Astyanax mexicanus: one gene and its partners. The protein of the gene in region 1 binds, or shares a complex with, the protein of each later gene. Links are inferred from orthologs where the notes say so. Each region holds a gene or a part of one and is shown in the gene's direction. Other genes may lie near its edges.

Region 1 (3,756 bases):
CTTCTTGAAATATTAGACAACTATGACCTGAATTCTCTGATGGAGTTTTTTAATGATGGATGAAGATAGATCAGTCTGTCATCAAACTGAAATTGTAATGTTTTTCTGTGGTATTTATTTGCTGTATAACAGATGCTTAAGTATCAATGCCATACTGAGATTGTGTTAGGTTATGTGTTGTGTTATGTAAGATTAGTGACACCCTGTTTTTCAGACAAATTGCTCATGTACTCACTTTATGTGGGGTCATTTTTCTATGTAATAAATTTTTCAAGTCATTATCTGTTTTGTGTGTGTTGTTAAGGGTATTTTACCTTTTTGTACAAGAATGTTAATTGTACAAACGAAAAACAATTGATCAGAAAACAATTAGTTTAATCTGGAATTTAAAGAAGATCTGAAATACATACGAAATGTGATATATCAGTGTTACATTTTGTTTCACTAAACCACAGTAAATTCCTTTCATAGAGATAAGGGCTCTGTTTTTGACATTGCAAAGGGCAAAAGTTTTATTGCTAAAAAAATCATTGGCCATTTTGGATATACACATTTCAGAATAGGACAGGCTAATAAATAATCCATCAAAAATCTAAAGGACATTCTAAGTTAACATAAACTACAACTAACTAAGCCCTGATTTAAATAAGCCAGCAGTTTCTGCAGACGTAAGAAAGATCTCTGGAAGTTTGTTCCACAGGTGAGTATAACAGTAGATCAGCAATGGTATTAAAATAAAGAGGAAACGTCTTGGTGGGTGACTTCTGCTCTTAATTATGTTTGCTCTGTACTAATATTTATAAAGTTATTTTCCACATGTTGAATAGGATCTCCTGAAAAAAACATTTGCTTTGTGTGACAGTGTGATATAAACACTGTAATTTATATATAAATAAATGAATAAATAAATACAAATCTTAACATCTACCTTTATTTGTACTTTTATCACATATTTTTAAATGACAAAGTGGCATTAAAATCTACCTTTATTTATTTTATTTTTTTTTTACTTTTATTGCATATAGCTAAATGACCCTAAAATCCACCCTTTTTCTTGTCCTTCTCCTTCATGTGTTTTTTTCTTCACTTTTGCATTGTAATACTCTCTTTTTATTCTTCTTTTATTTAGTTTTTCATTATTTTTAAAGAACAGATAAACATAAATAATATATTATAACAGTCTTATCTATTATGGAGGGTCTAAACTAGGTCCATCTCCAGGCTGTTCCTTCTATTGTGCTCTTTTGTCCATATTCTCCTCAATTCTCTGTTTAAATTCTCCTCTGAGCCAATCAATCTCTTACATCGACTTCTCAACGGCTCGCGCGCTGCCTCCCTCCCGGCTGCCGTAGATTAGTGACGCTCCGCTGCGCTGCGCTCTGATTGGTCGGTTTGAGTAGTCGCGGGCTACTTGAACTGGTAGAAACAAACCCGGAGCAGGAGCGGCGGCGGGTTGGACAGCACTGAAACAACCCGGCCTGAGTCAATACAGCGAGTTTAGGCGGTTCTGATCCGGATTATGGCGCTTTTTGTGTCGGTGTAATTATAGGCCGAGCTGTAGTTTAGCGTTGTTTATTTATTGCGTTCTGAAGTTTAAATGACTCTTATTTTTTGTCTGATCAGCAGCTGAATAACTTTAACTACACTCTGCTGCTGCTGCGTGTCTCACACGGTAGGTCAACCCCTCTCTATCCGCCTAAACTGTCTCTAACAACGGCTTAATGATTACCGAGCGCCGCTGTGGGATCTTACATTAAACAAATTATAGTTCTGGGCTGTTTTAGATTCGCTGATCGTGTTATTTTTCTCGTTATAGCCTGAGTTTACTATTAACACGCTGCAGAAATGTCCTCACACGAAGTTAGTGAAGCTGGATCCGTCCAGAACCAGGAGAACCGTCTCTCTCTGCGCGGAGCGGCAGCAGTAAAGAGTAGGCTGGAGAACCAGGAGAACGTGAACCCGAAACCGTCCAACAGAACCGTGTTGGGAGTGCTGGAGAACAACCCGAGGAGACAGCCCGCCCTGCGAGGCTCCAAACAGGTCTGTGGGGGTTTTGTGAATGGTGATCTAAACTTTAGTTACACTTTGTTAATGTGACTTTAGACTCTGTGTTCCTACTTTTGCTCGGTCAACTCACTTGTTATAGATCTAGTAAGCTAGGCTGGATATTATTTTTTAACTAGCAGCACTAGTTGGCTGGATGGGTTAACCTGCATGGTTAGCTAGCTAGCTACCTGCTTAAATGGGCCTACGTGCATCTGTTAAGTGCATTTCATGTTGTAAGTCTTCATTTTATAAGTTTAACACTTCTTTAAACCTGAATTACGTGGTAATTAAATGCGTTTTAGTCCTGTTTTTTGTTTTAAATGGCCAAATAGCTTCCCTCCATGTCCCAGACCGCCATTTTCCCCACCTCAATAGGTTCCATAGGAGTGACACTAGCTATGCTGCAGCTGCTCAGTGCTTCTAGGCACCCTGCCATGCAGCTAATACTTTACAATAAAGGTTAACAAAAACAGCACTTACGACAGTAAAACATTTGTTAAATGGTTACTTAATGTCAAAGTATTAATTTATGCTAGTTAAGCCATTAATTATTTCTTATTTTCTCAAGAATGTTTCCAATGTGTTGGTACAGGGGTTAAAAAATTGTAGTGATATTTTGAATAGGTTGGTGTCAAATAACTAGTTGACCTACTTTTATAAGCACAGTTAATGTATCCTTATTGTTAAATGTTACCTGCATCTGTTAAGCCCTAAATTTGGTAGTGTTTTTGTATAGCTGGTCAAAAATTAACCACCAGTATTAGAGAAACATTTTCTAATACAAGTAACACTCTTGCTTGTCAGGGTTTGTATGGTCATGAAATTTAAACACTTTCCAGGCCTGGATAAGTTTTGGAAAAATGATTATACCCAGACAGTTTTGGTAAAGGCATAGACATTTGCAATTTACAAATGTTTCCATTTATCGACTGAACCTATTTTGAGCTCATAAATACATCAGCTCAGTTAGTTCAGTAATATAGCCCTGCACAATGGAGCTCTCAGGATTTGATATTTTATTGAAGATTGTCAATGTTGCTTAATTTGTTTTTTCATAGTTTTGTTTGTCTGCACTGACTTACAATTTGCCTTGAGAACATGGAGATATATTGGTTAGTGTATGAAGGCTGAAATTGGTAATTTCAGTGCTTTTAAACACTGAACGGGGTTAGTGTAGATTTAAAATATTTTACTATAAAGGCTAATTGCTTGTATTTTCCCTTGTGTTACCAGGTTAATGTACAGCCCTGCAGATCAGATGACCATGGCAAAAGTTGTGCAGAAAAGCCCTCTTCCAAGCAGCCTGCTTTTCAGATTCATGTTGATGAACCTGATGGTGCCTGCTCAAAGAAACATGTTTCTTCCAAAAAAGCCACCATGGATTGTTCCCCGTTAACACTAAACCCCACAGTAACCCGGTTAAGGCAGCCCCTTGCTACTATCGACCTGCCTATGGATCTCAGTTTTGGTACGACATGGCAGATTTTGGTATGCAAATAGAAGTGTATGAGTGTTTTGCGTTGAATGTTCTAACACTTTCTTCTTTTGTTATAGATTCTCCCATGGATATGTCAATAATTGAAGGTGAGGAGAGGCTGGTAAATGTAAATGAAGTTACAGACTACGCTGCTGAAATTCACACACATCTAAGGGATATGGAGGTAAGTTATACATCTTGAATACACATTTATGGGTTTTGTTGGCTTGAAT
Region 2 (3,756 bases), on another chromosome or scaffold:
CATCATTTTTTTACCCACAGTGGGGGAATTTGCAACAATAGCAAGGCACTCAGTGCCGAAAATAGATAAAATAAACAGTACAATATATGCATTATAAATAATACAAAATCAAGAACACAGGAGTAATGGAAAAATATTTGACATTATATTACAATTAAAAAAACAACTATTGTCCTTAATCTTTGAATAGCTTGAAGCTTTTCAGTATTATTTGAATCCTATTTTTCACAATAGGTTTGTCTGTTTAAGTTTTTTTTTTGTTATATTTGTGAATTGTGTTTGTTTTATACAATGTTAATTTGGTCTAATATTGTGTCTATTTCATTATGTTGGATTTTAAGTTAATGCATAAAACACAGTAGAAAACAGCATGAAAATATAGTTACATTAAGGAGAAAAGGGGGAGAAAATCCTAAATATAAAGGCCAGTGAAAGCTCATCACAAATTTAAAAAGTAAAGTTTTTAGAAATGTCTTGTTTTTGGTCATTCTAAAGGATTTCAATATAGTAATGTAAATCCAGTAAAAAGATTAAAATATTTTGGTATTGGAGTCAAGTATTTACATCGGTAAATGTAGTATTTACTCAATAAATAAAAATATTAGTAATATATTGCTAATATAGGTCAATGTATGAAAAAAAACGCATATTATATCTCTAAAGTTCAGGTTCACAGAGATGTTGGTAAGTTATCTCGCCGCCATGTTTTATTATTGTTGTTGTCGCTCCGCGTGACGTAGGCAGGTTCTTGCCTCGCTCCCATTGGCTGAGAGCGCGCGGGTTTCGCGCCATTCGGGACCGCGAGCATTGTGGGATAGCGGCTGGAGGAACCGCGGCGCTCCGGTTCTTTGTTGATAAACCGGGTTTATAGAGTTTCAGCGCGGAGAGAAGCGGGAGGAATGCGGGGAAACGGGTCGGATTCCGGGCTCGGTGGGCCGGAGGACGGAGGGCTGATCCGGGAGCGGCTGGAGGCGCTGTGTCAGGAGCTGAACATGGACGAGGAGACCGCGGAGGAGGCTCTGGAGAACTTCACCTCCATCTGGAACACCTACACCCTGGAGGTAGACCAGCTCTTTACCCCCATAAACCAGCGTTACCCTTAAATAAACCACATAAATAAAGTATTTACTCTCATTTACAAGTGATTTATTCATTAAACTGTTATTTCTACGCGTTTATGTAACTGACAGGCAGAGCAGAGCAGCTGAAGCTTCTTTATTAAAGTGTATGTTTTAAAGCCCACAGCTGACCTGGGATCAGAGCAATCCCTTCCACCTTAAATTATTACAGTAGTCTGTGTTGGATCTTAAGGTGGAACGGACTATTCCAACATACAGTCAGCTGTGTGACAAACAAAAGAATAATAATAATATATTTCCCTAAAAAAAAACTTTTTAAAAGCTTGAGTATGATTTGCCTCTTTGACCAAACATTAAAAACTCATATAACCCGTTGTTTATAGGACTTTTGTTGTGTATCACTTTTAAAACATCCGGAATTTGTTGCTTTGTTTGTTTATTTAATTATGTATGTATTTGTGTATGTATGTATGTATGTATGTATGTATGTATGTATTTATTAATTAGAATAAAGCAAGACTTTACGAAAACTAACTATATCTCTACTCTGATAAACTTTTACAGTTTTACAGATACAGGTACCTGGGTTAAATAACACTGACCAGTGAATAAACAAACCACACACTACACTAAGGAAAAAAAAAAAATAAATAAATAAGTATATCTGAATATAAAAAATACCACAGAAGGACATATTGTGCTCATTACCAAATGTATATTTTGAATATCACACATAGAGCAGAAAATATAATAATAATAATAATAATAATAATAATAATAATAATAATAGAAGAACAGTTATGTACAACAGTCATAATGCTTCACAGTATGATAGCACAATATGTATGGAAATATCTTAATTGTAATGTATTCAAGGTTGCTATATTATAGTTATTTGTAGTACGTATATAACTAGAGATCTAGTCCTGGACTAGAATGCAGTACCTGTGTTTTAATGTTCTGTACAGAAGCGTCTCCTGGTCTGATTTTAATGGTGTGTATGATTGTATTCTCTCTCAGGGTGAGGTGGTTCACTGGCTGGCCTGTGCTCTGTACGCTGCCTGTAGAAAGGCTTCTATTCCCACTGTGGGGAGAGGACTGGTGGAAGGAAACTGCGTCTCCCTCACCAGGATACTGCGCTCCTCCAAACTCAGGTAAAGAGTTATTTGCACCTTTGTCTCATGTCATCATACGTTCTCATTAAAAACATTAGTTTGCCTAGCTTAGTGCAGCTTCGTATCCAGAAGTATCCCAACACCACCCATAACCCTTTGAATGTAATTGACGCAAATTGCGGCAAAAATCATGCTTGTTGTTTATACAACTTAATTACTCAGGAACGCATCTACGCACCAACCTGATCATACATTGTGACAAACAGGAAACCCTATTGTTTAAAAAAATCGAACTGACCCCCCGCTGAACTGAAGTGATTTTGAGAAATCTATTGTGAAATACACAGTGCACACGCAGCTTTCAGGTGCGCTCTGAGAGAGTCAGTGCTCACAGGCTTCAGTTATGGATGGGCAGCGACAGAAGCTCATCTGAATGAGGAGAATTACTGTTTTTTTCTATTTTGTATATATATATATATCTATATAGTGTATATTATAATTAAACAGCATTTATCTGATCATTTTGTTGAAGAACTCTTTATTATAATAGTTACTGTTATTATAAGCAGCTAATAGTAAATATCCAGTGTACTAAATCACTTTCATTAGATACGCCTGGTGCTGCTCATGTATTCTGTCGCAGTAATAAGCCATGTAATGAACTATCATCAAAATCCTTATTCTTTCCACTAGTATACACTCTAATCTAACTATTATTGAAAATAAAACACTTGTGTAAATTAATTTGTAGTCTGTACATAAAGTCTGTATAAAGAAAAGTAATAGCATGTGTCTTTCACCTCACATAACTGTGTTATAACGAGTAAAATGGGAACTGACAAAAACAGAGAAAAAACACACCAAAATAAGCTGGGGTTCAAAAGCTTAATGAGTGAAATCAGCTTCTTAATCAGTGGTGAGCAGCCATACTGAGGTAGTGGCCCAGCAAAATAGCACTGTTCACAAGGGTGTATAGAACCAAACAGAGCCTACTGAATTCAATAAAATACAGAAAACCACTATTCCATTATTCTGATCTTCCTCTTCTTCTCTCTTCCAGCCTGATTCAGTTCTTCAGTAAGATGAAGAAATGGGCGGACATGTCGAACCTCCTGCAGGACTTCCGGAACCGAATCAGCCACCTGGAGAGGAATTTTGAAGTGTCCACTGTGATTTTCCGTAAATTTGAGCCCATCTTTCTGGACATGTTTCAGAATCCTCAGGGTGAACCCCCCCGCGTGCCGAGAGGCAGGAAGCACAGGTGAATTTCCACTCGTGTCTTCATGTGTTCTCATCATCCATTAACTGTGTTAAATTTAAGTTATAATACTCTCGAGGTTCGTGCTATAACGTGTAATATTGGCACTGCTGTGCTGCGGTTGTAGGCACGAGGCCACAGGCCGAGTATAGAGTAGATGAGTACAGCAGTGCCAATATTACACTTTATAACTCGAACCTAGAGTGTATTATTGTTTTTGTATTATTATACCACAGTTCCATTATCACTGTTTTCTGAAAGATTTTAAAGAGTTAAAGAGGAGGAGAAAATAGGATCTATTTGG
Region 3 (3,756 bases), on another chromosome or scaffold:
CAAGTTAATTTTAATCACCGCCCATGGAGGACTAATTAAGCTTTGTTAGTGTTTATAGATAATTATAGTTTCTGTGGTCATAGTGTATAATATAAAAATAACAGGAAAAATAAAAAGGGTGGAGAGAAAAAAAGGACAAACTATAGCTATTTTGTATTGTATGTAGAAATAAATACAGAGAAAGAGAGGGAATAATCTGCCCAATCTCGCTGTGTGTGTGGGAAAATTCGGGTTGAGATGTTGGATGTTTAGGATGGTTTTGATGTAATGGTTATGAAGAAAAACAGGGTTTAAAGTTGCAAACAGTCTATGTAAGGACCAGTTTAAACCACTAAAAACATGTGAAATACGTATACTGGGGTGTCTAGGCTCGCTGTAAGTTATGTTTATTGTGTATATCGGCATCAGCAGACATATACATGTGTTATATCGGCCTAGAACTCCCACATTGATGCATCTCTAGAAAAAAATACCAATAATAATATTTTTTAAGCCCATTTCTCCCCAATATACACAGCCAATTACCCAACCCACTCATTAGGACTCCCCCTAACACTAGTGATGACCCAACACCTGGAGGGTGAAGACTAACACATGCCTTCTCCGATACATGTGAAGTCAGACTCCGCCTCTTTTTTATGGAGTAGCATCACAGTGCACTCGACAGCTCAATTATGCCTTGTGCTGATCAACATCACCCTTTAGAGTGATGAGAGAAAAGAGTGCTATCCACCCACCCAGAGAGAGCAAGCAAAATTGTGCTCTCTCAGGACTCCAGCAGCTGATGGCAAACTGCATGAACGGATTTGAACCAGCGATCTCCCAATCATAGTGACCAATAATATTAACCATTTTAATAGACATTAGTATTAGTATTATTTTATTTAACAATTAGGATAAGTCTTTATTAATCCCACAGTTGGGGGAAATTTACAGTACAGCAGTTACAGCAGTGCCGCGGGGAAAAACAGAAGTGTCATGCTAAAAAAATTAATTAAAAAAATAGAAAACAAGTGGTGATATTGCATATATGAACAATTGTAAGGCTTTTTATGACATTTTACTTTAATATTCTTCAATAAATATTATTTATAAATATAATATTTATAATTTGCAGTAAGTATGTATGATATTTTACTTAAAATAATGTTTCAGGTACCAAAATCCGTCTCTGACGCTTTCTTGTTTCCGGAAATGACGTGAGTGTAGCAGGAAGTTGAGCTGCGGAGTTTTCCCGCGGTTTGAGGCTGTGGGATCAGCGCTGGATAGTGGAGGCGGTTTCGGGGAGGCCCCTGTTCACCCGGTTTACTCCCTGCCTGCAGTTTTTTATTACCTGTATATTCAGTTATCAGTAAGATCCAGCTCTCATACAGCTGATCCACACCTCCATTCACTCTAACCCGCTCTGTCTGAAGACCCGCGAAGGATTTAATCAGCCATGCCGCCCAGAAAGCGCAGCTCCGGGACCGGGAGCAGCCGGAGGGGCGCCTCTTCCCCGGAGCTCCGGCAGTCCGGCTCCGCCATCAGCCCGCAACAGTAAGAACCCCGCGCTGCTGATCCGGCTCCGTGTTTCTCCGCGGCCGCTCTGTCCGCTCTTCTGTTTATATCTTGTGTTTAATCATTAGTTTGGGTAGTTAGATAGTTTATGAGTTAGCTCGGTCTGCTAGCTAACCTACAGTAAGTTACACAAGTTAACTAGCTACAGAGTTAGCTAACTGAGCTAGTTAGCCTGCTAGCTAACTTTTGTTTTGTCAACAGTCTCGTCACAACAAGTTATTCTCACGTATTTTCCCAACACAACCCCTTCTTCCCTTCAATAACATCCTGATATACTCCACTAAATACATCAACTTTACTCTAACTCCACATTTCATTGATTTAACTCGAATATCCTCAATGCTGTCATTCAGATAGATATTTAATCAGACTGATTTAACTCAAATATCCTTAATGCTGTTATTCAGTCAAACAGTTTTACTGCTTTAACTCAAATATCATTAACGCTGTTATTCAAACAGTTTTACTGATTTAACTCAAATATCCTTAATGCTGTTATTCAGTCAGACAGTTTTACTGATTTAACTCAAATATCCTTAATGATGTTATTCAGTCAAACAGTTTTACTGATTTAACTCAAATATCCTTAATGTTGTTATTCAGTCACTGTTTTAATGATTTAACTCAAATATTTTTAATGTTGTTACTCAGTCAGACAGTTTTACTGATTTAATTCAAATATCCTTAATGTTGTTACTCAGTCAGACAGTTTTACTGATTTAACTCCAATATCCTTAATGTTGTTATTCGGTCAGACAATATTACTGATTTAAGTCCAATATCCTTAATATTATTATTCAGTCAGACAGTTTTACTGATTTAACTCAAATATCCTTAATGCTGTTATTCAGTCAGACAGACTGTTTTACTGATTTAGTAGGATCAGTCTTAATGCTGTCATATAGATAGATAGTCAGAAAGACAGATTTTTTAGACAGGTTGACTGTATCACTTATTTAATTCTAATAGTCCCAATGCTGCCATTCAGATAGATAATCAGACAGACACTGTTACACTGATTTAACTCAAACAGTCTCAATGTTGCCATTATATATATGTATATATAGACAGATAGACAAATAGATAGACAGGCTGTGTTACTCATTTAACTCAGTGTCTGTGATTCCATTCACATAGAAAAAGATCGATATAGACTGATAAAAAGACATTCAGATAGATTAGACGGACTGTTTTACTGATTTAACTTGAGCAATTATAGCGATGCCATTCAGATAGATATATAATCAGAAAGACACACAGACAAATAGATTGTGGGACAAATACACTGTTGCAGTGATTTAACTCTAATAGTCTAATAGTGCTGCCATTCAGATAGATAATCAGACAGACAGACAGACTGTTGCACTGATTTAACTCAAACTATTTTAATGCTGCTATTCTAATATATACATAAAGATAGACAGACAGGTACATATACTTTTTTTTACTGATTTAACTCATACAATCTTAATTCTACCATTATAATCTAATATATAGATAGTGGGAGACTGTTTTACTGATTAACTCGAACAGTCACAGCGATAACATATAGATAGATAGAAAGACAGACAGACGGAGTGTTTTGCTGATTTAACTAAAATAATCTAAATGCTGCCTGTTTAATATATAGAGATACAGACTGTTTTACTAATTTAACTTAACTCAAACAGTCTGATGCCAGACAGACAGACAGACAGACAGACAGACACACTGTTACTGATGTAACACGAACAGTCTCAATAGGCATTTCGATAGACAGACACTGTTTTGCTGATGTAACTTGAAACAGTCTCACTGCTGCCTTTCTAATATATAGATATAGACAGGTACACAGACAGACTGTTTTACTGATTTAACTCAAATAGTCTTAATACTGCTATTCAGATAGCTAGACAGACAAGAGACATTCATTAAGATAGACAGACAGCCAGTGCAAGACATATAAAAGCCCACATAGAGTTTACCAAAAACACATAAAGGACTCCCAGGCTATAAGAAATAAGATTCTCTGGTCTGTTGAGATAAGGATTGAACATGCACTGCTCATTACCTGCCCAATACCATCCCAACAGTGAAACATGGTGGTGGCAGCATCATGCTTTTGTGGTATTTTTTTTTTTTTTTTTTTTTTTAGCTTCAGGGACAGGAAAGGAAAGATGAATGCAGCTAAGTACAGAGATATCCTGGAAGACTGGGCCA

The links.
Region 2: the proteins of ccna2 (region 1) and rbl1 are in contact, whole or in part, in a crystal structure (PDB 1H28), measured with the Homo sapiens proteins. The link is inferred for Astyanax mexicanus from reciprocal best matches to the Homo sapiens genes CCNA2 and RBL1. Residues at the interface, in NP_001228.2 of Homo sapiens: Met210, Ile213, Leu214, Asp216, Trp217, Glu220, Glu224, Arg250, Gly251, Lys252, Leu253, Gln254, Tyr280, Ile281, Thr282, Asp283, Thr285, Tyr286; in NP_002886.2 of Homo sapiens: Gly654, Ser655, Ala656, Lys657, Arg658, Arg659, Leu660, Phe661, Gly662, Glu663.
Region 3: the proteins of ccna2 (region 1) and rb1 are in contact, whole or in part, in a crystal structure (PDB 1H25), measured with the Homo sapiens proteins. The link is inferred for Astyanax mexicanus from reciprocal best matches to the Homo sapiens genes CCNA2 and RB1. Residues at the interface, in NP_001228.2 of Homo sapiens: Met210, Ile213, Leu214, Trp217, Glu220, Glu224, Arg250, Leu253, Gln254, Tyr280, Ile281, Thr282, Asp283, Thr285; in NP_000312.2 of Homo sapiens: Pro869, Lys870, Pro871, Leu872, Lys873, Lys874, Leu875, Phe877, Asp878.

What each region holds. Positions count from the first base shown.
Region 1 is NC_064417.1:25,275,401-25,279,156, reverse strand, and holds the start of ccna2 (cyclin-A2), read left to right. Parts: upstream 1-1,423; 5' UTR 1,424-1,672; intron 1,673-1,816; 5' UTR 1,817-1,845; coding exon 1,846-2,040; intron 2,041-3,279; coding exon 3,280-3,514; intron 3,515-3,600; coding exon 3,601-3,707; intron 3,708-3,756. Other genes in the region: bbs7 (Bardet-Biedl syndrome 7 protein), read left to right, coding at 1-63. UniProt on the Homo sapiens protein: Cyclin which controls both the G1/S and the G2/M transition phases of the cell cycle. Functions through the formation of specific serine/threonine protein kinase holoenzyme complexes with the cyclin-dependent protein kinases CDK1 or CDK2.
Region 2 is NC_064412.1:57,366,082-57,369,837, forward strand, and holds the start of rbl1 (retinoblastoma-like protein 1), read left to right. Parts: upstream 1-781; 5' UTR 782-899; coding exon 900-1,061; intron 1,062-2,099; coding exon 2,100-2,233; intron 2,234-3,254; coding exon 3,255-3,455; intron 3,456-3,756. UniProt on the Homo sapiens protein: Key regulator of entry into cell division. Directly involved in heterochromatin formation by maintaining overall chromatin structure and, in particular, that of constitutive heterochromatin by stabilizing histone methylation.
Region 3 is NC_064424.1:7,183,550-7,187,305, reverse strand, and holds the start of rb1 (retinoblastoma-associated protein), read left to right. Parts: upstream 1-1,217; 5' UTR 1,218-1,438; coding exon 1,439-1,536; intron 1,537-3,756. UniProt on the Homo sapiens protein: Tumor suppressor that is a key regulator of the G1/S transition of the cell cycle. The hypophosphorylated form binds transcription regulators of the E2F family, preventing transcription of E2F-responsive genes.